Anolis sagrei: one gene and its partners. The protein of the gene in region 1 purifies or fractionates together with the protein of each later gene. This does not show direct contact. Links are inferred from orthologs where the notes say so. Each region holds a gene or a part of one and is shown in the gene's direction. Other genes may lie near its edges. The genes, in order: EIF3H, EIF3D, EIF3I and EIF4G1.

The links.
Region 2: the proteins of EIF3H (region 1) and EIF3D purify together in Homo sapiens (affinity purification with mass spectrometry; 10 studies listed by BioGRID and IntAct, counting the BioPlex papers as one, with this or other methods). This does not show direct contact. The link is inferred for Anolis sagrei from reciprocal best matches to the Homo sapiens genes EIF3H and EIF3D.
Region 3: the proteins of EIF3H (region 1) and EIF3I purify together in Homo sapiens (affinity purification with mass spectrometry; 7 studies listed by BioGRID and IntAct, counting the BioPlex papers as one, with this or other methods). This does not show direct contact. The link is inferred for Anolis sagrei from reciprocal best matches to the Homo sapiens genes EIF3H and EIF3I.
Region 4: the proteins of EIF3H (region 1) and EIF4G1 purify together in Homo sapiens (affinity purification with mass spectrometry; 4 studies listed by BioGRID). This does not show direct contact. The link is inferred for Anolis sagrei from reciprocal best matches to the Homo sapiens genes EIF3H and EIF4G1.

Annotation. Positions count from the first base shown.
Region 1 is NC_090024.1:23,341,044-23,348,760, forward strand, and holds the start of EIF3H (eukaryotic translation initiation factor 3 subunit H), read left to right. Parts: upstream 1-4,669; 5' UTR 4,670-4,713; coding exon 4,714-4,824; intron 4,825-7,717. Other genes in the region: rRNA-processing protein UTP23 homolog, read right to left, coding at 288-475.
Region 2 is NC_090025.1:166,604,313-166,611,305, forward strand, and holds the start of EIF3D (eukaryotic translation initiation factor 3 subunit D), read left to right. Parts: upstream 1-3,929; 5' UTR 3,930-4,054; intron 4,055-6,777; 5' UTR 6,778-6,788; coding exon 6,789-6,911; intron 6,912-6,993. UniProt on the Homo sapiens protein: mRNA cap-binding component of the eukaryotic translation initiation factor 3 (eIF-3) complex, a complex required for several steps in the initiation of protein synthesis of a specialized repertoire of mRNAs.
Region 3 is NC_090034.1:83,413,467-83,421,540, reverse strand, and holds the start of EIF3I (eukaryotic translation initiation factor 3 subunit I), read left to right. Parts: upstream 1-4,996; 5' UTR 4,997-5,102; coding exon 5,103-5,105; intron 5,106-7,804; coding exon 7,805-7,897; intron 7,898-8,074. UniProt on the Homo sapiens protein: Component of the eukaryotic translation initiation factor 3 (eIF-3) complex, which is required for several steps in the initiation of protein synthesis.
Region 4 is NC_090023.1:262,549,668-262,557,065, reverse strand, and holds the start of EIF4G1 (eukaryotic translation initiation factor 4 gamma 1), read left to right. Parts: upstream 1-4,398; 5' UTR 4,399-4,509; intron 4,510-7,398.

The DNA of each region.
Region 1 (7,717 bases):
CACAGCAACACGTGGCAGGGGACAGCTAGTTGTATATAATTCGATTTCAGGTGCGTTGAAGGGCACTCAGAAGCTATTTGGGATTCCAGAACAGGGATGCTTCCTCAAGGCTGGGTGAAATAAAATGACACTTCTCTGCAGCCTATCAGCTCTCAGAGAAGGAACTGTTCCGGCCAATCAGAGGCCGCGTCCAGCACAAGCCCCCGATTCGAATGCCCGGCTCCAGCCAATAGGAGCGGCAGCTTTCTGAGGAGTTGGTGGTGCTCTCCTTTTCCTGTCCAACTCACCGCGTGGTGCAGAGCTGCGTGGCGCCGCCCAGGTATCCCGGCAGCTGTTCTCGGATCTGGATCTTGTTGCGCAGCGCCGCCTGGCAGAAGGTCCCGTCCAGCAAAACTTGGAAGGGCTCCCGGAAGCCGAAGTTGTACTTGTAGAAGCCCACGTTCCTCTTGGCGTGCTTCTGCCGCGTGATCTTCATGGCGGAGGCCGGGAAGGGACCATAGAGAGGGAAACAGACAGCCGGGCCTCCCTCCCTCCCATCCGGAAGTAGGGCTCTTGCGCCGGAAGGAGCACACATTCGACGCATGCGCGGTGGGATCTAGAGGAAACTGGCCCAAAACTGGCTCACGTGCTTATCCTTGGATATTCTTGCCTGCAGATGTAATGCAGTTTTAAACCGCTTTAACTGCCATGGCTCAATGCTGTGGAATATTGGGATGTATAGCCAGATGAGGAAGGAGCCAGCACACTGGCAAAGAAGGCTGAAGACCTTCTGAAACTACAACTCCCAATATTTCATAGCATTAGTTAGTTAAACAACTGCCTGAAACCACGGCTTCTAAAATAAATCTACAGCCTTGGCTATTAAAAGTGTTGTCAAACTGAGTTTGTTCTATTATTGAAGGCTTTCAACTGTTTAGCCGGTATCGCACCACCTGACACCCGCCGGGAAGTAGCAGCCAATAGTGAAAGGACCAAGGCAGAGACATCTCCAGCTCATCCCTTGTTTGGGTATCAACTAGCACGACAACGACTTAAAACAAGAAATAGTTTTCTAAGATCTACAGAGACACTTGCTGGAACACCTCAGCAAGCAAGAGTCCAAAAGTGGCAGGCTCAAACCCAGAACCTCATTCAATGGATGATACCAAATGAGAGACTCCCCCCTGGACACACAGAAAACTGGGCGACTTGGAAGGCGCTGAACAGACTGCGCTCTAGCACCACGAGATGCAGAGCCAACCTTCAGAAATGGGGCTACAAAGTGGAATCCATGACATGCGAGTGTGGAGAAGAGCAAACCACTGACCACCTGCTGCAATGCAACCTGTGCCCTGCCACATGCACAATGGAGGACCTTCTTGCGGCAACACCAGAGGCACTCCAAGTGGCCAGATACTGGTCAAAGGACATTTAACCAACTACCAAACTCACAAATGTTGTATTTTGTCTGTCTGTCTGTTTGTTAAAAAATGCAACACAACTGTTTGGTCTGCCCCTGACACGATAAATAAATATGGCTGGAATCACTGGGTTATTGTAGTTTTTTTGGGCTGTATGACCATGTTCTAGAAGGATTCTCTCCTGATGTTTCGCCTGCATCTGTGGCAAGCATCCTCAGAGGTTGTAAGGTGTGTTGGAAACAAGGAAAATTGGGTTTATATATCTGTGCAAAGTCCACGGTGGCAGTAACACTCTAAAATTATAACAGTAAATAAAGAACAACACTGAAACACGGGAACTCCAGACAAGAAACAATCAGGGACAGCTAATCACCTCTCAACAAAAGATTACCCCAGGCAGTAACAAGCCTCACCTAAAAACTGTCAGGCCATGAAATGCTAATCAAGGTGGCCAATTGAAACATTCACACCTACCTCCAACAGACAAGAGTTCTTTCTCCCACCCTGGACTTTCCATAGATATATAAACCCCATTTTCCTAGTTTCCAGCCGACCTCACAACCTCTGAGGATGCCTGCAATAGATGCAGGAGAAACGTTAGCAGAGAATCCTTCTAGAATAGTGGTTCTCAACCTGGGGTCCCCAGATGTTTTTGGCCTACAACTCGCAGAAATCCCAGCCAGTTCACCAGCTGTTAGGATTTCTGGGAGGTGAAGGCCAAAAATATCTGGGGACCCCAGGTTGAGAACCACTGTTCTAGAACATGAGTTCATTCTACAATATAAACGTGGCCAATTCAGTATTTTATTGTCATTTCTTAGAATCATAGAGTCCAACCCCCTGCCATGCAGGAAAAGCGCAGTCAAAGTATCTCTGACAGATTACCACCCAGCCTCTTTTTTAAAAGCCTCCAAAGGAGGAGTTTTCACCACACTCCGAGGCAGAGAGTTCCACTGCTGAACAGCTCTTATAGTCAGGAAGTTCATCGTAATAGGTTCTTTCCTATAATTTGAACCCATTGCTCCGAGTCCTAGTCTCCAGGGCAGCAGAAATGAAGCTTGCTCCCACCTCCCCGTGACTTCCCCTCACGTATTTATACAAGCCATAATGTCTCCTCTCAATCTCTTCTGCAGGCTAAACATGCCCAGCTATTTAAGCAGCTCCTCATAGGGCTTGTTCTCCATCATTTTAGTCCTCCTCTGGACACTTCGTAGCTTGTCAATATCTCTCTTAATTTGTGGTGCATAGAATGGAATACAGTATTCCAGGTGAAATCTGGCCAAAGCAGAATAGAGAAGGCACCATGACTTCCCTCGATCTAAACACTATGTACTTTTGATGCAGCCCAAAATCTTACTGGCTTTTTAAGCTGCTGCATCACACTGTTGGCTCATGTTCAACTTGTTGTCCATGGAGACTCCCAAGATCTTTTTCACATGGACTGTTGTCAAGCCAGGCATCACCCATTTTGTATCTTTGCATTTCATTTTGCTCTTCCCAAGTGTAATATCTTACATTTGTCCTTGTTGAAATTAATTTTGTTACTTTTGCCCCAGCTCTCTTGGCTCTTGAGGTTGTTTTGAATTCTGATCCTGTCCTCTGGAGTATTAGCTGTCCCTCCTAATTTGGTGTCATTTGCAAACTTGAAAAGCATGCCTTCTTAACCTTCATTCATGTCATTAATAAAGACATTGAACTGCACTGGGCCCAGGACCGAACCCTGCAGCACTCCACTAATCACTTTTTTCCTGGATGAACTATTGGTGAGCACCTCTAATCTGTTGAGGTCATTTTGGATTCTGATCCTGTTTGTTTAGGAGACAGTTGATACTGTTCCAACCCCATTCCTGTCATTCTGTTATTTTTAATGGATTTTGTGGCAGTGAATGGCTGAGAAGGATGGGATATAAATTCTGAAAAAATGAAGATTTGGCGTGGTGTAGTTTTTTTAAGTTTTGTGCTAGGAGACCCCTGTTTGAATCCTGGCACAAATAACAAACATAGTAAAGGTAAAGGTTGTGCCCCTGACATTAAGTCCAGTCCTGTCCGACTCTAGGGTGTGGTGCTCATCTCCATTTCTAAGCCGAAGAGCCGGCGTTGTCCGTAGACACCTCCAAGGTCATGTGGCTGGCATGACTGTATGAGCACTGTTACCTTCCCGCCGGAGCAGTACCTATTAATCTATTCACATTTTCATGTTTTCGAACTGCAAGGTTGGCAGAAGCTGGGGCCGACAGCGGAAGCTCACGCCGCTCCCCGGATTCGAACCTGTGACCTTTCGGTCAATAAGCTCAGCAGCTCAGCACTTTAACCCATTGCGCCACCGGGAGGACGGGGGGTTCTATATATATGCATATATATATCCACAATATATTTAAATCTGTATAATAATAGAGAAGAAATAATAAATATAAATTTATTTATTTATTTATTTACAGCTTTTATATTCTGCCCTTCTCACCCTGCAGGAGACTCAGGGCGGATTACAGTGTACACATATATATGGCAAACATTCAATGCCAATTTTTGACATGCAAACATATACAGACATATACAGAGGCTATTTAACTTTTTCTGGCCGTTAGGGGAGCTGTTGCTTTCATTGTCCATCTGTGACGCTGATGAAGCACTTCCGCATTCCCTGCACGCTTCCCCGCTGGAATGCTTTGCTGGAGTCTTCTTTATGTCCTCATAAATCAGTTAATTTAGCCTCCCCACACTTTAAGGTGGTACCTAATTTTCCTACTTGACAGATGCAACTGTCTTTCGGGTTGCAAAGGTCGACAACAGGCTACACACAATTGGTTGGAAACCCACTCCAACCTGGGCTGGCTTCGAACTCATGACCTTTTGGTTAGAGTGATCTTAATGCAGCTGACACTCAGCCAGCTGCGCCACAATGGAAATATATTGTATTTATACTCTACAATGTTTAAAATACAATTTATATTATTATATATTTAAACGATATATCTAAATCTGTATAATACTATAGAAGAAAATACATTTTCATGTGTTGTATTTATATTGTACAATATTTAGAATATAATTTATATTTAAATATATATTTAGATATACGTGCACTAATATTTAGTAAACACGCTTGTGTATAAGCGTGTTTGTATCTATTTATTAGTATATAAAACCAAGTGCACATGCTTTGGCAACCACTCCTCTTTGCCCAACTTGTCTCGTTCCCGGAACCTTTCTTCATGGGCTCCTGGTTTCCGCCCGGACGCTATTATTGCGGTGGAAGGCACTTCCGCTCTCTCCCTTTCCCGGTAGGCGTGCTCACTCTCTCTTTCTCTCAGCGATGGCGTCGCGCAAAGAAGCAGCCGGCGCTCCTTCGTCGTCCGTCGCCAAAGTGAAGGGCAAGTCAGCTCCGGGCGACTCTGCCGTGAAGCAAGTGCAGATTGACGGCCTGGTGAGAGAAGAGGGAGAAGGAGGAGTTGGGGGAGGAGGAGGGAGCATCTACACCAGGCAAGGGCCAAACTGGGCCTTCCAGGTGTTTTGGACTTCAACTCCCACAATTCCTAACAGCCTCAGGCCTCTTCCTTTTCCCCCTCAGCCGCTTAAGCGGCTGAGCGGGAAAGGAAGAGGCCTGAGGCTGTTAGGAATTGTGGGAGTTGAAGTCCAAAACACCTGGAAGGCCCAGTTTGGCCCTTACCTGGTGTAGATGCCTCAAATAATTCCTCTTGGATGCAGAAGGGGGGAAAACAACAACCCCATTCCCACCTAACACCATAAGATCCAATTTCAAGTCCATTGTGAACCAGCAACAGGTATCCGTATTTATAGCTCGCTGTTTTATTTCAGGACATACTTACTTACTTAGGCGATCCCTCGTTGGACGAGTAAGATGGTCTTCCATTATGGGTTCCTTGTGGGTCCGCATGTGGCTGTGGAGCCCTATTCTTGCTCTGCATTTTCTTCCACAGTGAGGGCATTGGTTTCCAGGTGGAAGGCGGTCCCGGTCGGGGTTGGCTTGACGCGCCTTCCTCCTGGCACGTTTCTCTCTTTCAACCTCCACTCGTGCCTCCTCAAATTCTGCAGCACTGCTGGTCACAGCTGACCTCCAGCTGGAGCGCTCAAAGGCCAGGGCTTCCCAGTTCTCAGTGTCTATGCCAGAGATTTTAAGGTTGGCTTTGAACCCATCTTTAAATCCCTTTTCCTGTCCACCAACGTTCCGTTTTCCATTCTTAAGTTCAGAGTAGAGCAACCGCGTTGGGAGACTGCTCAGGCATCCGGACAACGTGGCCGGTCCAGCGGAGTTGATGGCGGAGGACCATCGCTTCAATGCTGGTGGTCTTGCTGGTGGTCTTTGCTTCTTCCAGCACGCTGACGTTTGTCCGCTTGTCTTCCCAAGAGATTTGCAGGATTTTCCGGAGGCAGCGCTGATGGAATCGTTCCAGGAGTTGCATGTGACGTCTGTAGACAGTCCACGTTTCGCAGGCATACAGCAGGGTTGGGAGGACAATAGCTTTATAGACAAGCACCTTGGTATCCCTATGGATGTCCCAGTCCTCAAACACTTTCTGCTTCATTCGGGAAAATGCTGCACTCGCAGAGCTCAGGCGGTGGTGTATTTCGGTGTCGATGTTAACTTTGGTGGAGAGGTGGCTGCCAAGGTAGTGGAAATGGTCAACATTTTCTAATGTTACACCATTAAGCTGTATCTCTGGCATTGGGGAGGGGATGGCCGGTGACTGCTGGAACAGCACTTTGGTTTTCTCGATGTTCAGTGACAGGCCAAGCTTCATGTATGCTTCTGCGAAGGTGTTTAGAGTGACTTGTAGATCTTCTTCTGAATGCGCACAGATGAAATTGTCATCAGCATACTGGAGTTCTATAACAGATGTTGTTGTAACCTTGGTTTTGGCTTTCAGTCTGCTGAGGTTAAACAGCTTGCCATCTGTCCGATAGATGATTCCCACTCCGGTGGGAAGCTTCCCATCAACAAGGTGAAGTACTCTCCAGAGGCTTTGGACTACAACTCCCATTGGTAATGAAGGCTACAGACCTAGTAAAACTACAACTCCCAGTATCCCATGGTATTGAGCCAGGACAGATAAAAAGGGGGTCAAACTGGATGGATATCTGTTTGTTGTTGTTTATTTGTTCTATCGTTTCCGACTCTTCATGACCTCTTGTATACTTTCAAATCATTTCTGACTTAAGACAACCCTAAAGTCAAGCTATCCTGGGTTTTTCTGAGGTTTTGTAACTCATCAAAAGTCACACAATGGGTTTCCATGGCCAAGCAGGGAATCGAACATTGCTTCCCGGAGTCATAGCCCAATGCTCAAAGTACTACAGTACATTGGTTCTCTTTACTTGTTGTTGTTGTTCATTCACTCCGTTGCTTCCGACTCTTTGTGACCTCGTGGACCAGCCCACGCCAGAGCTAACTGTTGGCCGTCACCACCCCCAGCTCCTTCAGAGTCAAGCCAGTCACTTCAAGGATACCATCCATCCATCTTGCCCTTGGTTGGCCCTTCATTTATATAGAGAAAAAGTGGGGTACAAATAAACATAATAAGAGAGAGAAAATTGGGGTGTAAATAAACATACTGGTAATAGCACAACAATACAAGTACTGAACCTTAACACAATAAAAGATCTACTCTATTCTCTGAGTAGAATGGTAAAAGGCAAGCATCCAACCTGTTGTTGTTTATTCACTCAGTCTCTTCCAACTCTTTGTGACCTCATGGACCAGCTCATGCCAGAGCTCCCTGTTGGCCGTCACCACCCCAGCTCCTTCAGAGTCAAGCCAGTCACTTCAAGGATACCATCCATCCATCTTGCCCTTGGTTGGCCCCTCATTTATAGAGAGAAAAAGTGGGGTACAAATAAACATAATAAGAGAGAGAATAAGTGGTGTGTAAATAAACATACTGGTAATAGCACAACAAAACAAGTACTGAACCTTAACACCTACAATAAAAAGATCTACTCTATTCTTTGAGTAGAATGGTAAAAGGCAAGCATCCATCCTATTGTTGTTTATTCGCTCAGTCTCTTCCAACTCTTTGTGACCTCATGGACCAGCCCACGCCAGAGCTCCCTGTCAGCTGTCGCCCACCTTCAACTCCTTCAGAGTCAATCCAGTCACTTCAAGGATGCCATCCATCCATCTTGCCCTTGGCCAGCCTCTCATCCTTTTTCCTTCCATTTTCTCCAGCATCATTGCCTTCTCTAAGCTTTCCTCTCTCCTCATTATGTGGCCAAAGTACTTCATCTTTACCTCTAATATCCTTCCCTCCAATGAGCAGCCGGGCTTTATTTCTATCTTACAGTACATGTAGGTCAGGCAT
Region 2 (6,993 bases), on another chromosome or scaffold:
GAGCCTTCTCTGCCAAAAGAGTGCAGATGCCTCATCAAACTAAAAATCCCAGGACTGCATAGCATTGAGCTATGACAATGAAATTACAGATGACACCCCGCAAATAGAAGCTCCAGTTGCTCCTGAAGCAGCTTACCCTTTTGCTATGGCTCAGCAAGATTATCTTATTACGCGAATCTAATACACATCCTGATTTTGGCAAGGTAGTTTAGCTTTAAAAGGTGATTTGAGTAAATACAGTATGTACAGTTTTCCTGTAACAATGAGGAGGAGGAAGAATAGTTCAATAGCAGATGCCTCCATGGACTGCTGCATAGGACACATATTTGGGACATCATGCTGAGGCTGAAATTTAATTATTTATTTATTACATTTATATGCCGCTTTTCTCCCCCTAAGGGAACTCAAAGTGGTTTCCAACATTATAAAGGTAAAATTCAATGCCAAACATACATGTGAAAACCAAAAGATAATAGCAAGACGATAACATATAACTATAAATTAACCTAACCAAATTAAAAAATAAACATAAAATGACATTTAGACTTAAAGAATAAACAATTAAACATTGATAAAATAATAACATTTATATTAAAACCCACCAATAAACAACACGATTTTAAAAGTTATTAAAATCAAATCCATAATAGAGTCTGTAGCCGTTCCATTGGTCCATTCACTATTCCTTATCCCTTTCTGATGTACGTACAATTATTGTGATGTTTAATTGACTTCTTTCTTCCCATCCAACCCAAAGAGGAAATAAGAAAAATAAAAGACTGCACAATGGACCTTCATTATCCGCTCACCTTGCAGATTGTAGATCAGGATGAAGGGTTCCTACTGATACAAACTGTACAAAGGGAGGCTACATGGTGGGGACATGGACCATGATGTGAAATTGCCCCATTTACATTTAACCTATTTGAGTTTGACAATGATTGAGTGACACCCCAAAAAGGTGGCGCAGAACTGTGAAACTATAAAAGCAAATGTACTGTCACTGCTCAGGCTTCCTGAATTTCGGTAGCATCACTGGAGGTCCAGTTCTCTGTATTTTTTCTACTTCTTCTGATAGTTTTTCAGAATAAAACTTTCTTTCTGAGACTAATAAACACCTTGTTACTTTGCTGGCCGTGTTTCTACACTTGCACCTTTTAAGAGATTGGGGTGACAGCTGTACCCTACAAACTCTATCAGTTCTGAACCCTTTAATAAAATGTAACTATTTGATGGTTTCTATGTAAATTGTATCTTTCTTACTGTGTACTGTATCAGGAAAGCTAAGAGAAGACAATTATGCTGGGGAAAATGGAAGGAAAAAGGAAAAGGGGTTGACCAAGGGTAAGATGGATGGATGGCATCCTTGAAGTGACTGGCTTGACTCTGAAGGAGCTGGGGGAGGTGATGGCGACAGGGAGCTCTGGCGTGGGCTGGTCCATGAGGTCACAAAGAGTCAAAAACGACTGAACGAATGAACAACAAGAACTGTATCAATTTAGTATATGAAGTGTATAATCTGTTTGTTATACATATCAAAATGTAACATTTGCGTAATCTCTTGGGAAAGGGGACATTGGTCAAATCCCTCCCTTGACTGCGGTCCTAGCTGAAATCACTACACAATGGTATAGTAAAATAGTGAGGCAAAAATAGGTTTGCTTTTTGGAATTTTTCTCCCCAGATATTTTTGAGCTGTAGTTGGTGAAGCCCCACTGTATCAAAATCAGAAATTATAGTAAAATCAGAAATTTTAGAATACCAATGTTGTGGTCCCTTTGACTACGAATGGTCACTCCAGTGCAATTAGATGCGGCTGTACAATAATACATTGTGTTTCATTATATTGTTTTTTTGTTTACACTCAGGTTTACACTCAGGCTGAGAGGAGACATAATAGCTATGTATAAATATATGAAGGAAAATTATATGCAGGAGGGAACAAGCTTGTTTTCTGCTGCCTTGGAGACTAGGACGCAGAACAATGGCTTCAAACTACAGGAAAGGAGATTCCACCTGAACATGAGGAAGAACTTCCTGACTGTGAGAGCTGTTCAGCAGTGGAACTCTCTGCCCCGGAGTATAGTGGAGGCTCCTTCTTTGGAGGCGTTTAAACAGAGGCTGTATGGCCATCTGTGGGGGTGCTTTGAATGCGATTTTCCTGCTTTTTGGCAGGGGGTTAGAACTAGATGGCCCACGAGGTCTCTTCCAACTCAATGATTCTAGGTCCTTACTACACTAAACCATTATAGCACTATATTCTGCTTTAACTGCCATGGCAACACCCTATGCAATATTGGGGTTTGTAGTCTAATGAGGTCAGAGATCTTTCTGGTTGAGAAATCTAAATGCTTCTCCGTAAACTACAAATCCCTGGATTCCACAGGTTTTTTGTTGTTGTTGTTTTGTTTTTTTGTCATGTCAGGAGCGACGTGAGAAACTGCAAGTCGCTTCTGGTGTGAGAGAATTGGCCGTCTGCAAGGATGTTGCCCAGGGGACGCCCGGATGATTTGATGTTTTTATCATCCTTGTGAGAGGCTTCTCTCATGTCCCCGTGTGAGGAGCTGGAGCTGATAGAGGGGGCTCATCCGCCTCTCCCCAGATTCGAACCTGCGACCTGTCGGTCTTCAGTCCTGCCGGCACAGGGGTTTAACCCACTGCACCACCGGGGGCTCCATGATTCCACAGTAACCTGCTATTACAGTAAAATAATAGGATTGTAATGGTGCAGTACATAGGGGTGCTCTTACACTGTAGAATTAATGCAGTTTGACACCGCTTCCTGCCATAACTCAGTGCTATGGAATTCTGGGATTTGTAGTTTGGTAAGGCAGTTTGATGAGGCACCAATACTATTTGGCAGAGATAGCTAAAGACCTTGCACAACTACAACTCCCACAAATCCTTAGCCTTGATCTTAAGACAGCTTATTTATTTGTCGTGTCAGAGCAACCAGTCCATTATATTACATTTCTAACAGAACAAAGTAAACAAACAGACAAATACAAAACTTGTGAGTTTGGTAGTTGGTTAAATGTCCTTTGACCAGTATCTGGCCACTTGGAGTGCTTCCGGTGTTGCTGCAAGAAGGTCCTCCATTGTGCATGTGGCTGGGCTCAGGTTGCATTGCAGCAGGTGGTCAGTGGTTTGCTCTTCTCCACACTCACATGTCGAGGATTCCACTTGGTAGCCCCATTTCTGAAGGTCGGCTCTGCATCTCGTGGTGCCAGAACGCAGTGTCTTTAGCGCCTTCCAAGTCTCCCAGTCTTCTGTGTGCCCAGTAGGGAGTCTCTCATTGAGTATCAGCCATTGGTTGAGGTGCTGGGTTTGAGCCTGCTACTTTTGGACTCTCGCTTGCTGAGGTGTTCCAGCTAGTGTCTCTGTAGATCTTAGAAAACTATTTCTAGATTTAAGTCGTTGACGTGCTGGCTGATACCCAAACAGGTATAAGACAGCTAAAGTGGTATAAAACTACATTAACTTTACGGCATAGATGCACCTTTTGATCTATTCCATACACACACTTGCAGTATTTATTGTATTTCCTAGATTGTAAAGCAGCACACTGCCTTTAGTTGCAATAACACAAATTAAAATAGCCCAAAAGGCACCAGGTTGTCTGATCTTGGTAGCTAAGCAGGATCAGCCCTGGTTTGTAATTGGATGGAGGGAGGGGATCACTGACAAAAGGCAGGTGCTGTGGGGGGAAGAAACTAGCAAAACCATCTCTGAGAATCCCTTTCCTTTAAAAAAAAAAAGAGCTATAAAATTCATGGCGTTGTTGCCATAAATCCGCAGGCGATAGGCACTGAATGCAAATAACACAGAGAGAGAGAACCCAGCGTTTTTACGTCCCTGCCAGGCCTTTCCTTTCCTAACTCGGCTTTTGCGACAGTTTTGGCGTCGCGCTGGAGTGACGTGTCATGAGAGCCAGGGCCGCCGCGCCGGAAGCCGGGGAAGCCGTAAAGCGCAATCCTTGTGGAAGGTGGTTTATCTGTCGTCGGTGTTTTCGGGGCCGAATCCGCTGCCATCGGGGCCCACTGGGGTCCTAGAGGTGAGCGAGGCGGCCACGGGGGAGGACCGGGGAGCCTTCGCTCTCCTCCGGCGCCAGTATTTTTTCCCTCCGAGTCTTGGATTGTAGTCTTGCCGGGCCTCGAGGGAAGGGCGGCGGCTGCTGAATGGATTCGGCGGAGGGGGAAGGCCCATTTCAGCCCTGTTCCAGGCTCAACAGCAGGTATGGGCCAACTTGGGCCATCCAAGTGTTTTGGACTGCAACTCCCACCATTCCTAACAGTCTCAGGCCCCTTCCTCCCCTGAGGAAGCAAAAGGAAGGGGCCTGAGGCTGTTAGGAATGGTGGGAGTTGCAGTCCAAAACACTTGGATGGCCCAAGTTGGCCCATACCTGCTCTAGATACTCCCTTGGTCATTAAGGGTCATGTCACACTACACTATTATAGCACTACTATTCCACTTTTAACTGCCATGGCAACAGTCCTTGGCATTCTGGAGGTATAGTTTAGTGAGTCTCAAGAGCTGAGAACTATCCATGCGCCTCCCTAAACTGCAAATCCCAGGACTTTTTAGGATATCGCCATGGAATAATACCTGTGACGATGAATGTGTTGCCAAAAGCATAGTACAAAGTAGACATATTTGTATTGTGTTGGTATAATGTTTTATTTTGTACTGCTCTTTGTAAGAGCTTAGGCTCTTTAGAAAGTAGCATATTCTTAATTCTTTTTAAAAAGTAAAGGTTTTACCCTGACATTAAGTCCAGTCATATCCAACTCTGGGGGTTGGTGCTCATCTCCATTTCTAAGCTGAAGAGCCGGCGTTGTCCGTAGACACCTCCAGCATGACCGCATGGAGCAACATTACCTTCCCGACGGAGTGGTACCTATTGATCTACTCACATTTGCATGTTTTCAAACTGCTAGGTTGGCAGAAGCTGGGGCTGACAGTTGAAGCTCATGTCACTCCCCGGATTAGAACCTGCCACCTTTCGGTCAACATGTTTAGCAACTCAGTGGTTTAACCCACTGTGCCTCCGGGGGCACCCGGGTTTTTATTAAGTTATGTCCAAATATATTCTTAATAATCTTATTATATTAACTAGCACAATATTAGTATTATATTGTACTATACAGCTATACTGCAGTGTGATGGAGCCCTAGGTCTCTTTATCACATGCTCAAAAGGAATGAACACGTCATCACACTCATTTTGCAAAATGCTAGAAATGACAAAGAGAAATTAGGCATTTTTAGTATGTAATAGTATTGATCTATAAAACACATTTCTCATTCACACTGTCATTAAACAGGATAATAGTTATGCGGTGTTTAATCATATGTGGGATAGTTTGCATTATAGAATTATTTCAGAAACGGCATTGATTATTTGCCGTGTATATGTATATTGTGATCTGCTCTGAGTCCCCTTCGGGGTGAGGAGGGCGGAATATAAATACTGTAAATAAATAAATAAATGTATCTACGACATTTATATTCCGCCCTTCTCACCACAAAGGGACTCAGAGCAACTTATAAGTTATATGTACATACAATATATTGTATTATTAGCATAGCACAATATTAGTATTATATCTTACTATATTGTACTATACTTCTATGCTGCAATATTATTAGTAATTTTACATGTAATATATAATTATTGTTATTATATTGTATTATTAGTATTATATTGTATTACAGTATTATGATCAATATTATACGTACATACAATATATTATTAGCATACTATAATATAGAAGGACTTTTCTGTATGCCTGCTGACTGAAAAACCTTGCACTCCATTCCTCTTGCTTTTCTGCGTAGTTTCATGCAGTTCCAGGGCGACAGTGGCCACAGGAATGTGATTAAAATGATTTTGTATCCAGGACTATAATTGACATCTTAAGAAGATTTTAGTGATGCTTGTTAATAAGAAGGTTGGTTGTTATAGGGTAGCAGGAAAAAAAGATATACAGGACTTTAAGTGCTGACTCTGTGGTATTCAGTGCAGCTGAATGACTTGAAATTTTTCCTCAAAAAACACTTTTACCTAATTCTACATTCTCAATTCATGTGTCCAAAAATGAACAGTGGATCATGGATTGGATCTCATCAAAGAGCTGTGTTTAATAAACTTGTAGAAATTGAAGGAGGTGGTGTTTTTTAAAGAGTCTCTGAGAATGTAAAATTTTGTGCTGCTTGGTATTGGATTTGTTATTTCTGATACACATTCAGGATGTTGTTTATGCAGTCAGTTGTAAATCCTTCCTTGAAAGTGTAAGGTTGTGCTGATACTTTAAGCACTAACCTACAACCAATAAATAATAAAAATTTAGTATTATTTTTGTTCTTGGCATTGAATGTTTGCCATTTTTGTTATACTTTGGAAACCACCCAGAATCCCTTTAGGTAGAGAGGGCAGGTTATAAATATATTATTATTATTATTTCCTTTATACAAGTTGAGTATTCCTTATTAGGGACCAGAAGTGTTTGAGATTTCTGTTTCATCCACCTTTGGGAATAACTGTCTTTGCTTATATGTACATGATGTGATATCTTGAAGATGGGACCCAAGTCTAAACATGAAATTAATTTATGTTTCATATACACAATTGTGCACATAGTCTGAAGGTATTTTAAAAGATATTTTAGTCTGCTCCATGAAAACACCTTATCAGCTGATCTTAGTATTTCAAAATGCCTTTGTATTTTATAATTGTGAGAACATCATTTTCTACCTTTTCTTTTCTTTTTTTTACTAGAAATATAAAAGATGGCGAGGTTCATGATACCTGTGATCCAAGACAATCCATCAGGATGGGGTCCATGTGCTATCCCTGAGCAGTTCAAAGATATGCCTTATCAGCCCTTCAGCAAAGGAGATCGTCTGGGGAAGGTATGTTCACTTGTAGCTTTTTACAGAAGTTCAAATAACTTCTTACAGCTTTCCATCTGAGGACCTGATCCTTTGTTGGATG
Region 3 (8,074 bases), on another chromosome or scaffold:
CTCTGCCATTGCATCCTAATCCCACAGTATATATACGTGAGTCCCCCCACCTCACTCCCATCCATCTCTCAGCAAGAAATAATATTCATGAATCCAGATCTAATGGGAGCCTCAGAGTGTGTTGGTTAGGGCAAAACTCTACAAGAGCGGGGTGTGGGACTATCCTATTGTCTGAGGAACATCTCTCTTCCACTTCCCTGGGGCTGTTGGCCTTGGCAGTTGATTAGATGAATCCTCTAGGAGTTTCTGGGCTCTGGGCAGTTTTGAGGGTGAGCTGTTGAGCAAGATCGGATCTTTTGAATCTCAGCAGCTGCGGAAGTTATATTAATTCTATATACACACACACACAAGAAATAATGTTTAAATTCATATTTTAAATTCATATATAAAGTCATATAGTAGACCAAGGAACCACACTAGTTGAGAAGAAATGGCACCACAACCTGCAAGAAGAAGAAGAAATGGCAGTATTGATGCCAAAATCAGTTGGCCATCTAAGGAGTGGAAAGGATGTCTGATACACAGTCTCCGTTCTAAAGGAATCACCATGTAAGACAGTGCAAGGCATTTTATCCCCATTGACAGCCATTCAAATGACCCACTCCTTCCCCTGATTGGCTCAGAAATGGTCAAGCCAGGATCTGGGCTCTCATTGGCTGGGGACTCCCTGAGATTTCAGAGGTGGGCAGAGTTCCTTTGTGGCGGGAAGAATTGAGAGCTTCTATTGGTTCCTTTGAAGCTGGAGCCGTTCGGAGTGCTGCCTCAGGAATAATAATATGGTTTGGGGCAATGCAAAAAATCCACGACTAGATTATATGAGTCCACAAAAGGAGCTAGTCTCTGACATAATCGGAAGGCTTAGGTCAATATAGACAGCTGAATGGAAAAAATAGAAAACAATACAAATTCTATTAAGACGGAGTTCATATCTGATAGTTCTGAAACACCTAGATATTTGCCTGGACCCTGATCCTAATTACATCTTAAAAGGATCCTTTCCTGTTTGCTTTGCCTCCCTGAGGGGATTTTCTCCCAGGACACTGGACCAGTTTCCCAGATGTACAAACCCCCAGAGTTTCTCAAATAAAACATATAGTTTTTGGGTGCATTGGGAACATTTCTGTGGCTGCTCTCTGCCATTGCATCCTAATCCTCACAGTATAAATACCTGAGTCTCCCCACCACCACCACCACCTCATTCCCGTCCATCTCTCAGCAAGAAATCATCTCCATGAATCCAGATCTAAAGGGAGCCTCAGAGTGTGTTGGTTAGGGCAAAACTCTACAGGAGAGGGGTGTGGGGCTATCCTATTGTCTGAGGAACATCTCTCTTCCACCTCCATGGGGCTGTTGGCCTTGGCAGTTGATTAGATGAATCCTCTAGGGGTTTCTGGGCTCTGGGCAGTTTTGGGGTTAGCTGTTGAGCAAGATCGGACCTTTTGAATCTCAGCAGCTGCGGAAGTTATATTAATTCTGTACACACACACACAAGAAATAATGTTTAAATTCATATTTTAGGGAGTGGAGGGGTCATTTTTTGACAAATCAAGCCAGTATCTTCAACTGCAATAATTAAAAAATGTTTAAAATGCATACTGTTCTGTTTCTTGTCTCTAGAACCATGTATTCTATGACAACACACATTTTTTGTCTTGGCAGCAATGAAATGTTGGGCTAGATGCATTGCTGATATTGCAGTGAACCGCTATGAGGATGCTCTTAGTGCATTGAATTTTATCTAATCTAAATTTTAATATCGTTGTATGCATTTGATGTGTGATACTGTATTTTAATGGTATTGTATTCTAATGGTATTGAATTGTAATAGGCGAGATCTGTATTCCAATTGTTTTATGAAGTACTTTGGTATGTTTTTGGATTGTTGTGCTTGTATATTGTACTTCTTTGTGTGCAAATGGCCTATAGTGAGGCATTAACAAACAAAACAGAATATTATCCCATGTAACATAAAACCCCAGAGGTCTTAGAAGTGCAAGCACTGGAAAACAGTCAGCCTAGTATACTTGATAGAGTAGAATTGTGTGCTTTAGTTACTGGGAATTAGACAGTTATTATTATTTTTGTAAGTATATTAATAGGGGGAACTATCAAATACCTTGTAATTGAAGCAAAGGAACTTCATTTCTGCCAGGAGCTGCAGGCTTCGTCTCTCCTTCTTCACTTGCTCCAGGCCTTCTGTTCCCTTTTTCAAAAATGGGTTGGTCCCTCCCCAAAGAAGGGCCACCAAGAGACAGGCACTTAGTTCACCTGCAAGAAAGGAAACTTCTAATAATCATTGTAATGGTAATTTGGAAGGATTTTGCAAAAGAGTATTCGAGAAACCCCTCTTCCTCCTGGAGAGAAGTGCCAAGAAGAGGGCCCAGTCCTGGGCCATTCAGGACTATTCAAAGTCTCGATTGATGACTTAGATAACTGAATAGAAGGGAGGTTTATACACTTGAAAATGGGACCTTGTTGGGAGGGATGGCTAAGACTCTAGAAGGCAGGATCAGGATCCAAAGTGACCATGGGAGATTAAAAGGATGGATCAAAATTATTATTATTATTTATTTACTGATGTTTAATGATTTATGTTACAATTGTTTTTAATTGCCCTATACTTGTCTCGTGATGTTTTGTATAGATGTTGTTCACTGCTTTGAGTCGCCTGAGGGCTGAGAAAAGCGGTATATAAATAAAGTAAATAAATCAATAATAAATAAATATTTACAGTATTTATATACAGCCTTTCTCACCCCTGGGGGGACTCAAAGTGGGGGTGGGGGACTCAAAATGTAAGGCTTCTTGTGGAGGGAAAAAGTAGTGTGTAAATAAACATAATAACTAACCAAACGAACTTCAACAGGGACAAATGTATAATATGACGCTTTGACAATAAACATAAAATGGATAGATATAGGATGGGTGACCCCTAGCTTGAAAGCAGTCCATGGGAACGGGGTCTAGGAGTCTGAGTGGACCACAAGCTGAACATGAGCCAACACTGTGATGCAGCAGCGAAAAAGGCCAATGTGATTCTAGGCTGCATAAATAATATAGTGTCTAGATTAAAGGTACTCATAGTCCCACTCTCTTTTGTGTTTATTTATTTATTTACCACATTATACTCTGTGCCTCTTACCCTGAAGGGATTTTCAGGCAGGCTGGCAGAAACTGCCGTATAATCAATTGTACTATACCTGTGTACCCTGTTGGTGGCATAGGTATAGGCAGCTTGCGTTATGTCATGCTGGGTTCCATTGAGGTAGTGCAATGGATGCAAGGAGAGAAGTTCTAAGAGAATTGACTTGTATTGTCAAAGGCTTTCATGGCCGGAATCACTGGTTTGTTGTAGGTTTTTTCGGGCTATATGGCCATTTTCTAGAGGCATTCTCTCCTAAGGCCTCTAGAACATGGCCATATAGCCTGAGAAAACCTACAACAACCCAAACTTGACTTGTTTCTGATTATGTCTTGAGAAACCCTGTCAGCAGATGTAACCTGACCATCTTGTCCAAAGTTAGTGCCTTCCACTTGTTTCACACCCGCTCCAATTCTAGCATTAAAATCACCACACAAGATAAGCTTTGTGGAGGGATATTGGCATTCCAAACAGGTGAGGGTTTCAGATAGCCCAATCCAGACATTAGGGCCTCAATTTTTGATAATATATTAGGCAGAGTCTGGATGACCATCTGCCAGGAGGGCTTGGGTGGTGCCTTCCTACATAATGGTAGAAGGGGGTTGGACTGGATGGCCTTTGGGATCTCTTCCAATGCTAGGATTCTATTATTATTATTAATATATTAAGCAGAGGCTGAATTGACATCTGCAGGAGGGCTTGGATGGTTCCTTCCTGCATAATGGCAGAAGGAGGTTGAACGTATTATTATTATTAGGTTGAACGTATTATTATTATTATTATTATTATTAATATATTAAGCAGAGGCTGAATTGACATCTGCCAGGAGGGCTTGGATGGTGCCTTCCTGCATAATGGCAGAAGGAGGTTGAACTGGATGGCCTTTGGGACCTCTTCCAATGCTACGATTCTATTATTATTATTATTATTAATATATTAAGCAGAGGCTGAATTGACATCTGCCAGGAGGGCTTGGATGGTGCCTTCCTGCATAATTGTAGAAGGGAGTTGGACTGTATGGCGTTTGGGGTCCCTTCCAACTCTAGGATTCTCTTATTACTATTATTATTATTATTATTATTATTATTATTATATTAAGTATAGACTGAATGGACATCTGCCAGGAGTGCTTGGGTGGTGCCTTCCTGCATAATTGTAGAAGGGAGTTGGACTGTATGGCGTTTGGGGTCCCTTCCAACTCTAGGATTCTCTTATTACTATTATTATTATTATTATTATTATTATTATTATATTAAGTATAGACTGAATGGACATCTGCCAGGAGTGCTTGGGTGGTGCCTTCCTGCATAATTGTAGAAGGGAGTTGGACTGTATGGCGTTTGGGGTCCCTTTCAACTCTAGGATTCTATTATTAATAATATTATTCATATTCAGCAGAGGCTGGATGGACATCTGCCAGGAGGGCTTGGATGGTGCCTTCCTGCATAATAGGAGAAGGAGGTTGGACTGCATGGCCTTTGGGGTCCCTGTCTTCCAATTCTAGGGTTCTTTGAGTCCTGTTTCTCCATGAGCCTGCTTATGAGTTTGTATGGCCATCTGTTGGGAGGGCTTTGGTTGTGCTTTTCCTGCCTCCAGAAAGTAGTTGGACTGCGTGACCCCTGGGAATCCCTCCCAGCTCTGGGACGCACTGCTTCTACAGAGGCCGAAGGTGGCCATGGACCCACACCGTTTCTAATACACGTGGGCATGAAACTAAAGTCCCCCCCCTTCCTTTCTCACCCAGCGACGCCATGGCGACCGGTCATAGAGTAGAGGGCTAGACTGACGCAAACAAGTCCTACTTCCGGTTTGGCGCAGCTCTTGTCAACCGGAAGTGTGAGGCTCTCTTCTCTTTTTATATCTCTATGGACACCTGGTTTCGGCTTTCCGTTTCCGGTCTCGTGCCGGAAGTGGTTCATCTGGCCTCTTCTGCGCCGCCTGGCCTTCCTTTGCCGCAGCCATGGTGAGTCCCTCTTCCCCTGAAGCTGCCCATGAGTCGGTTTAGTGGATCAATCCAGCCTGGTCTGGGCCTGGGCCTCTCCGTTCCCTATCGCCAGCCCCAGTGAGCAACCTTGCTGCAGGTGTTTGGACCAGCTGAGGTTTCTGAGCACTCTTTAAAGGCAGCCATACCTAGAGCGCGTTACAGTATTCCAGATGGGATATAACTAAGGCATGGATCACCATTGCCAGATCTGGCTTCTCATGGAATGGGCGCAGTTGGTGCACAAGTTTTAATTGTGCGAAGGCCCTCCTGGCCGCTGCCGATAGCTTCAGCAGGATCCCCAGACTTTGAATCTGTGTTTTCGGGGGGGGGGGGGGCATCCAGCGCAGGCTGGATCCCTATTCCGTGGTCTGCCTTCCAACTGATCAGGACTACCTCTGTCTTGTCTGGATGAAGTTTCAATTTGTTTGCCCTCATCCGAGGTCATCCTGGTCAGTTGCAGCCTGTGCTGGATGGGGTTACACTCCCCTTGAAGGCACAGGTTCGCAGCTTAGGAGTCCTTTTGGATTAATCGCTGAGTCTGGATCCTCAGGTAGCAGCGGTGGCCAGGGGGGCTTTTGCACAATTAACACTTGTGCACCAGCAGCGCCCGTACCTTTGGAAGCCAGACTTGGCCACGGTGGTCCACGCTCTCATTACATCCAGGATAGACTACTGCAACATGCTCTACGTGGGGTTGCCTTTGAAGACGGTTCAGAGGCTTCAAATAGTCCAAAGAGAAGCAGCCAGGTTAATAACTAGGGCAGCTAACAGGGAGCACACAACTCCCATGTTACGTCAGCTGCTCTGGCTGCCTGTTTGCTACCGGGCACAATTCAAAGTGCTGGCTTTGGCCTATAAAACCCTAAACATCCCAGGCCCAGTTTATTTGTCTGAACGCATCTCCCTTTACGAACCACTGCGGAAACTAAGATCTTCTGGGGAGGCCCTGCTCTCGGCCCTGCCACCATCACAGGCGCGTTTGGCAGGGATGAGAGACAGGGCCTTCTCAGTGATTGCCCCTCGGTTATGACAATATTAGATCAGCCTCCTCCCTCCTGTCCTTCAGAAGAATGTGAAGATCTGGCTGTGGGTCCAAGCCTTTGGGGCAGTGCAATGAGGCAAAATGGTGTCCTGAGATGGTTTTTAAGCAACTTTTAATGTGAATATAAGTGATTTTAATGTTTGTATATATTTATGGTTTTATGTCCTGGCATTGAATGTTTTCCATATATATGTTGTGCTCTGCCCTGAGCCCCCTGCGGTGTGAGAAGGGCGGAATATAAATGTTTTAAATAAATAAATAATTGCTGATTATAGATGCTGGTTTAGGGTCAGAACAGCTTCCTTGGCATTAGGTGGAAAGGAGTAGTAGAGTTGGATGTCATCTGCGTATAGGTGGCATCATACTCCAAAACTCTGGATGACATCTCCCAGCAGTTTCATGTATATGTTAAACACCATGTAGGTTAAAATGGAACCCTGAGGAACCCCGCAGGTCAACAGCCAGGGGTCCCCCAGCACTACCTTCTGGGTACGGCCTTTCAGGAAGGATCAGAGCCACTGCAAGACAGTGTCTCCCAATCCCATCCCTGTGAGACAACCTAGAAGGATACCATGGTTGATGGTATTGAAAGCTGCTGAAAGGTCCAGGAGAACTAACAGAGTACACACTCCCCCCTATCTAGGTCTCTGCGGAGGTCATTCACCAAGGCAACCAAAGCTGTATCTGTTCCATTGCCAGGCCTGAAACCAGATTGAAATTGATCTAGATAATCCATTTCACCCAGAAATCCCTGAAGTTGGGAGGCCACCACATGATCCAAGTCCTTGCTCAGAAAGGGGAGGGGTGCACACTGGCCGATAACTCTCCATTATAGAAGGGATCAGGGGTGGCTTTTTAAATATAGGCCTCACAACAATAGGAATAATAATTGAAATAATAATGGGAAGAATAGGAATAAGGTACTGTTCCATTATCTGGATGGAATAATAATGATAATAGGAATACTCCTAATAATAGGATTAATAATAAGAATAGGAATAATAATAATGATAATAATCATAGGAAAGAGCTAAAAACTTGGTTCTTTCTGCAGGCCTTTGATAATGTTTAAGATACTAACCAGATTACTATATTTAGCCAGGGAAGTCTAAATTGATTGTATGGATCTTTTAATTAATTATTATTGCCATATTTTATTGATTATGTTGCTCTTGTTAACTTAATATGCCTAGTTTTAAATGTGTTATTGGTTTTTAATGTTGATATATTGTATTTTATGTTGTATGGCACCATTGTGTGCTTTGTGAGTTGCCCCGAATCCCTATGGGAGATGGTGGCATGGTATAAATAAAGTTTATTATTACTATTATTAGGAATACTACTAATATTAGGAATGATAGGAGTATGAATAACAATAATAATAGGAATAAATCTACAGCTGTGTTTGTGTTTCTATCCATGTATGTTATAGGATATTTAATTTATATGATACATGTTATCATGTTATCTCTTGGTGCGCTATGTTTTATAAGAAATGTACTGCTATTTATACCTTCTCCAAAAAATAGATACAGCTTTGCAGATTCAGAGAGCAAAAACAGAGAAAGGAATGAAATCTCTACAAGGCAGTATGGTTCAGACTGTGTTAAAGCACATTGTTCTTTTCTTCCCACAGAAACCTATCCTCTTGCAGGGCCATGAGCGGTCTATTACTCAGATCAAATATAACAGGGAAGGAGATCTACTCTTCACGGTCGCCAAAGATCCGGTAATGATTTTCTATATTTCCACACACACCCCACTTCTATGTGTATATATAAAGGAATTGAAAATCACAAATGTTCTACTGCAGCATCTGTCTGTCGATCTACAAATCAGAATATGCATGTTGGTTTGTACCACAAAGCCTTCTCCATGGCTTGATGGATCAGGACCAAACTTGGCA
Region 4 (7,398 bases), on another chromosome or scaffold:
ATGCGTTTTCTGGGCTGTAAGGCCATGTTCCAAAAGCTTTCTCTTCTGATGTTTTGTCCACATCTATGGCAGGCATCTTCCAAGGCTGTGATGTCTGTTGGAAACTAGGCAAGTGAGGTTTATATATCTGAGGAATGTCCAGAATGGGAGAAAAAACTTGTCTAGTATGAATGTTGCAATTGGCCACCTTGATTAGCATTTTATGGCCTTGCAGCTTCAAACCCTGGCTGCTTACTGCCTGGGGGAATCATTTGTCGGGAGATGTTAGTTGGCCCTGATTATTTCTTCTCTGGAATTCCCATTTTTTTTAGTGTTGTTCTTTATTTACTGTCCTGATTTTAGAGTTTTATAAATACTGGTAGCGAGATTTTGTTCATTTTCATGGTTTCCTTTCTGTTGAAATTGCCCACATGCTTGTGGATGTCAATGGCTTCTCTGTATAGCCTGACATGGTGGTTGTTAGAGTGGTCCAGCATTTCTGTGTTCTCAAATAATATGGGGTGTCCAGGCTGGTTCATCAGTTGCTCTGCTATGGCTGACTTCTCTGGTTGAATAAGTTGCAGTGCCTTTCATGTTCCTTGATTCATGTTTTATTATTAACTTTATTTATACCCCGCTAACATCTCCCAAAGGACTCGGTGCGGCTTACAAAAGGCCAAGGCCCTCAATAAAACAACAGCATAACAAATACAACAATAAAACTCATACAGCAAAACAATAAACATTAAAGCAATAACAATAAACATTAGAACAATAACACCAATAACATTGTTTGGGCAATGCTGCTGCATTTGGTGGTCCCTATGTAGACTTGTCCACAGCTGCATGGAATACGGTAGACTCCTGCAGAGGTGAGAGGATCCCTCTTGTCCTTTGCTGAACGTAGCATTTGTTGGATTTTCTTAGTGGGCCTGTAGATAGGAAGCCATGAGAGTAAAGACAAAAATCCACCCAGAGGAAACGTGTTCTTACCAGACAACAAGGGAACCACTGACCGCATAGGGAAGCTGATGAAGAAACACAACCTTCAAACTATCTACAGACCCACTAAGAAAATAATATGCTGTGTCCAGGTTGGTTCATCAAGTGCTCTGCTATGGCTGACTTTCTCTTATAAAGTGTTTGAAAGTGAATAAATTGGTTATGAGGAATCGGGAGGAAATACAGAAAAACTTTGTCAATGACTGGGAACCTTTTTTGAACAGTGTGGGAGGTGGGATGGAAAAGTTCTTAGAGCAAGCTTCCATGACTGAAAAAGCTTGGGAGCAACTGCTCTATATAACTGTTCAAGCGTGCCCAGTAAGGGATTCTGGAAGCGAATTCTGTTTGTACTGCCTATTGTGGGCATACACACACAGCAAGAAACCCTTTAAAATGTTTATTTCCATGGAACCCAACTATATCTTTAATTGTTTTAAAGCAAAATATCAGTTAACATTAACAGCCTTAAATATGCAGATGATATCACTTTGATGGTCGAAAGCGAGGAGGAGCTGAAGAGCCTTCTAATCAAGGTGAAAGAAGAAAGTGCAAAAGCTGGGTTGCACTTAAACATAAAAAATAACAAGATTATGGCAACCAGACGGATTGATAACTGGCAAACAGAGGGAGAAAACAATAAAAAGCAGCAAGTATAAGATATTTTGAGTCAATTTGGCCTTTCTTTCTCCTTTTCCTCCTCAACCGCATGTCACTCCAGGTACCTCTGGGTGGGTTTTCTCGAATTCACCTTTCTCTTTCCATCCTTATTTGTATAAATTTTATTATAGTTTAATTTTTCCTAATCTAATCTCTGTAACTATTTATTTATCACTTAAATATTTGTAGTCATTTTTTTCTCTCCCTCATTTTTTTACTAATTTTTATTTTTTGGCTGTATAATGTATCTATTACACACACACACACACACACACAATTTTCTTGCAGTGTAATTTTTTACCTAAACTTTAACATTTTTAATGTAAAAATATAAATAAACATTTTCTTGCAGTGTAATTTATTTAAACTAACAATTTTATGTATTTATTGCAGTGAATTTTTAACTACTTTAAATTTTAATGTAAATAATTATTTTTCTTGAAATGTATTTTTATCTAAACTACAATTCTTAATTTTCTTGCAGTGTAATCATTTATCTAATCTTTAAAATTCTTCTCTCTCTCTATATATATATATATTTCAGTGTAATTTATATAAACTTTAAAATTCTAAATGTATATATATAATTTTCTTGCAACTTTAAAATGTGGTCTCGCAATGTATTTATCTACATTTTAAGCTGTGTAATTTTTATCTAATATTTAAATTTCATAATGTATATATTTTATTTCCTGAAATTCACTTTTTTCTTATTTGATCTCTGACATAAATATTCTTGCAAAGTAGTTTTTGCCCTAATCTTTGAAATTTATTTGATTTCCTTGCAATGTATTTTTTAAATCTAAACTACTATTTAATCTTCAAACTACTATTTAATCTTTAAATATTCTCATATATTATTGCAGTGCAATTTTATCTAATCTTTAAAATTCTTAATGTATATATAATTTTCTTGCAGTGTAAATTTGGTATAAATTTTAAAATTCTTATTCTCACAATGTATTTATCTAAATTTTAAACTGTGTAATTTTTTCTATTCTTTAAAATTCTTTATATATATAATTTTCTTTCAGTGTAATAGTTTATCTAATATTTAAAATTCATAATGTATTTATTTTATTTCCTGCAATGCACTTTATCTGATCTCTGAAATTCTTTCTCTCTCTATATATGTAAAGTAGTTTTTGACCTAATCTCTGAAATTCTTAATATGCAAAGTAGTTTTCGATCTACTCTATAAAATTCTTAATATATATATTCTTGTAGTTTTTGACCTAATCTCTGAAATCTCTGAAATTCTTTATATATATATATATATATATATATATATTCTTGCAAAATAGTTTTTGACCTACTCTCTGAAATTCTTAATATATATATTCTTGCAAAGTAGTTTTTGACCTAATCTGATTTATATATATATATATATAGATAGATTTGTAGTTTTTGACCTAATATTTGAAATTCTTAATATATATATTCTTGCAAAGTAGTTTTTGACCTATTTTCTGAAATTCTCAATATGCAAAGTAGTTTTCGATCTACTCTATAAAATTCTTAATATATATATTCTTGTAGTTTTTGACCTAATCTCTGAAATTCTTTATATATATATATATATATATATATGTTCTTGCAAAATAGTTTTTGACCTACTCTCTGAAATTCTTAATATATATATTCTTGCAAAGTAGTTTTTGACCTAATCTGATTTATATATATATATATATATATATAGATTTGTAGTTTTTGACCTAATATTTGAAATTCTTAATATATATATTCTTGCAAAGTAGTTTTTGACCTATTTTCTGAAATTCTCTCTCTCTATATATATATTCAAAATAGTTTTTGACCTAATCTCTGAAATTCTTTATATACATATTCTTGCAAATTAGTTTGTGACCTAATCTCCGAAATTCTAAATATATATATATTCTTGCAAAGTAGTTTTTGACCTAATATCCGAAATCCTAAATATATATATTCTTGCAAAATAGTTTTTGACCTAATCTCTGAAATTCTTTATATATATATATATATTCTTTCAAGGTAGTTTTGGACCTAATCTCAGAATTTTTTATATATATCTATATATATATAAATTTGGAAAGTAGTTTTTGACTTCATCTGAAATTCTTTATATATATACCTATATTCTTACAAAGTAGGTTTTGACCTAGTCTCTGAAATTCTTAATATATATATTATTGCAAAATAGTTTTTGACTTAATATCTGAAATTCTTTATATATATATATATTCTTGCAATGTAGTTTTTGACCTAATCTTTTAAATTCTTAAGATATATATATATTGCAAAGTAGTTTATGACCTAACCTCTGAAATTCTTAAAACGTATGTAATTATCTTTGATGGCCATGTCCTTTCCCTTGCCTAGACCTTTGTAATTCTAGATGTTTATACCAATTCAAAAAAGAGAGATATAGCTATTGAACTGAAAACAAAGACTCCAAAAGGGAGCAGCCTTTCTTCTCCTTCCTCCTCAAACACGTGTCACTCCGGCCATGATGGAAAGTAAGGCAAACAGGAACCGGAAGTCCCTCCAGGATCACGTGACGGGAGGAGGTGGGCGGGGCTTGTGGGGGAGACTTTGGCATACATCCGGGGATTGGCGAGGGAGGGGGGTCACGTGACGGGCCGGGCCGACCTTTTTCTCCCTGCGAGGCCAAAGCATGGCGAGGGTCACGTGACGAAGGGCGGCTCCTCTTTTTCTCCCCCCCCTCCCCTCCTCCCAATCCTGGGATGCCACTTCCTGTTTCTGCAGGCCGGCTTCAGCGCCAGGCCCCGCCCCTTCCTTTTCCCCTTTCCCTCCCTTTCGGAGCGAGCGGCTCCGGAAATGGTGGCTACGTCGGGCCCCGCTCCGTCGGGCTGAAGGAGGAGACGCCAGGTAAGCCGGGGGCCCTCTCCTCGACCCAACCCGGCCGGAGGGGGAGGAGGGAGAAGGAGCCGGCGGGCAGGCCGCGCTAGGCCTCGCCTCACCACCACCGCCACGTGCAGGAGAGAGGCAGGCCCGACTAGGCCTCGCGCCCTCCTCGCCCGCCTCTTCCTCCCCCAAACCGGGTGGGGCGCGGCCTTCCTCACCACATCCAACCACCCAGCGCCCCAATAGTTCCTGAGCATATGCAGAAGGCGCTGGGGTTCCCCTTCATCCATCACTACAGCTCCCCACTGGTTCCTGAGCATAGGCAGAAAGCACCTGGATGTCTCAGACCTCATCCAGTTCATGCCACGTTAGTATCTGAGCCCATGATGGTCTCGCCCCAATAGTTCCTGAGCATATACAGAAGGGTTTTGAGTTCCTAGTCCTCAATCAATCCGGTGACCCATTAATTTCTGATGTGCAAATTGTGTTGGGATTCATAGTCACCTATCAGTCCTAGTTTCTGAAGGTAGGCAAAAGGCACTTTAGGTTCTTGTGGGTTTTTTTGGGCTATACAGCCATGTTCTAGAGGCATTCTCTCCTGACGTTTCGCCTGCATCTATGGCAAGCATCCTCAGAGGTAGTGAGGTCTGTTGGAATTAGGACAGTGGGTTTATATACAGACCTCACTACCTCTGAGGATGCTTGCCATAGATGCAGGCGAAACGTCAGGAGAAATGCCTCTAGAACATGGCTCTATAGCCCAAAAAAACCCACAAGAACCTAGTGATTCCAGCCATGAAAGTCTTCGACAATAAAAAGGCACTTTGTTTCATAGTCCCGGTAGTTTCTGAACATTCACAGAATGCATTTGGGGTCACAGTTAATTATCCACTCAGCTCCCCACTGGTTCCTGTGCATAGGATTGGTTATACACGGACGATGAATTTTGGATTACGATTCCAGTTATGAGATGCATAGGATTGTTATTGGTGGCCCAATAATTTGTACTGTATATGTGTTTTATGCTTTTAACTGAATATTGTTTTTTAAATGTTGTAAACCGCAATGAGTCGCCGATTTAGGCTGAGATATTAGCGGTATACAAGTGCATTAATAAATAAATAAATAATAAATATAGAGAAAGCACTATGGTTTCGCATGCTTTATCTAGTTTGTGCCACATTACTATTTGAGCCCCTGATGAAGGCTTTGGGGTTCACCTCGCCCCAATAGTTCCTGAGCATATACAGAAGGCTTTTGAGTTCCCAATCATCTATCAATCCGGCGTCCCATTAATTTCTGAGCATGTGCAAATTGCATTGGGATTCACAGTCACTTATCAGTCCTGATTTCTGAAGGTAGGCAAAAGGCACTTCGTTTCATAGCCCTGGTAGTTTCTGAACATTCACAGAAGGCATTTGGGGTCACAGTTAATTTTCCATCCAGGGCTTCACTAGTTTCTGAGCATATGCAGAAAGCTTTCGAGTTCATAATAATTATTCATCCAGTGTTTCATTAATTTCTGAGCATACACAAATGGCATTTGGATTCATTTATCAGCCCAGCACCCCACTATGCTAGTTTCTGAGCATATGCAGAAGGCACTCACTTCTAGACATGAAAACAGTATTTCAAACCATAGCCATTCATTCTCTCCCCCCTCCCCCTGTAATTTCTGAGCATATGCAGAAGGTACTGGGATTTGTTGCCACCCATCAGTCCAAGTTACATTGGTTTCTGAGCATATGCAGAAGGCACTATGGTTTCTCATGCTTTATACAGTTCGTGCCACATTACTATTTGAGCCCCTGATGAAGGCCTTGGGGTTCACCTTGCCCCACTAGTTCCTGAGCATATACAGAAGGCTTTTGAGTTCTTAATCATGTATCAATCTGGTGTCCCATTAATTTATGAGCATGTGCAAATAGCATTGGGATCCATAGTCACATATCAGTCCTACTTTCTGAAGGTAGGCAAAAGGCACCTCGTTTCATAGCCCTAGTAGTTTCTGAACATACACAGAAGGCATTTGAGGTCACAGTTAATTATCCATCCAGGGCATCACTAGTTTCTGAGCATATGTAGAAGGCTTTTGAGTCCATAATCTGGTGTCCTGTTGATTCCTGAGAATGTGCAGATCGTATGTGGATTCATTGCCACTTGTCAGTCCTTCATACTTATTATTAAATCAGGTCCTTGTCCTTTGTTCCCCTTCAATCCGCTGCCCTACTCGTTTATGAAGGTAGGCCAAAGGCACTTTGATTAATAGCCACCCATATAGCTCCCCAGCATTGGATTCATAGCCCCGGTTGTCTCTGAACAAACACAGGAGGCATTTGGGATCACAATTAATTACCCCGCCTGGCCTCACTAGTTTCTGAGCATATGCAGAAGGCATTTGAGGTCATAGATACATATCAGTATATCTCCCCACTAGTTTCTGAGCATATGCAAAAGGCTTTTGGGTTCATGGTAAGCAATTAACCCAGTGCTCCATTAGTTTCTGAGTGTGTGGTAATAGCATTTGGATTCATAGTCACCTATCAGTACAGCTCAACTTTTTAATATGTAAATTCCAGGAAGATCAAGTTTTGTAACCCTTCTCCAATACTTTTTTCATATAAATAATCCTGTTGTTCATTCTCCTGTACATTTTATTGTAGATTATAGACCCACAGAACAAAATTCACCCCCAATTAACTAGTATAGTCCTCAAAATCCACAGATTCAGCTATCCAGAGCTTGAAAGTATTACATAAAGATCCAAAATACAAATGTTGGTTTTGCTATTTTATATGAGGCGCACCAGTTCACCAGGCCATTGTGCATAATGGGACTTGAGCACACATAGATTTTGGTATCCATAGGTGGGTGAGGGGTCCTAAAACAGATTTTTTTTTTGTATACCAAGGA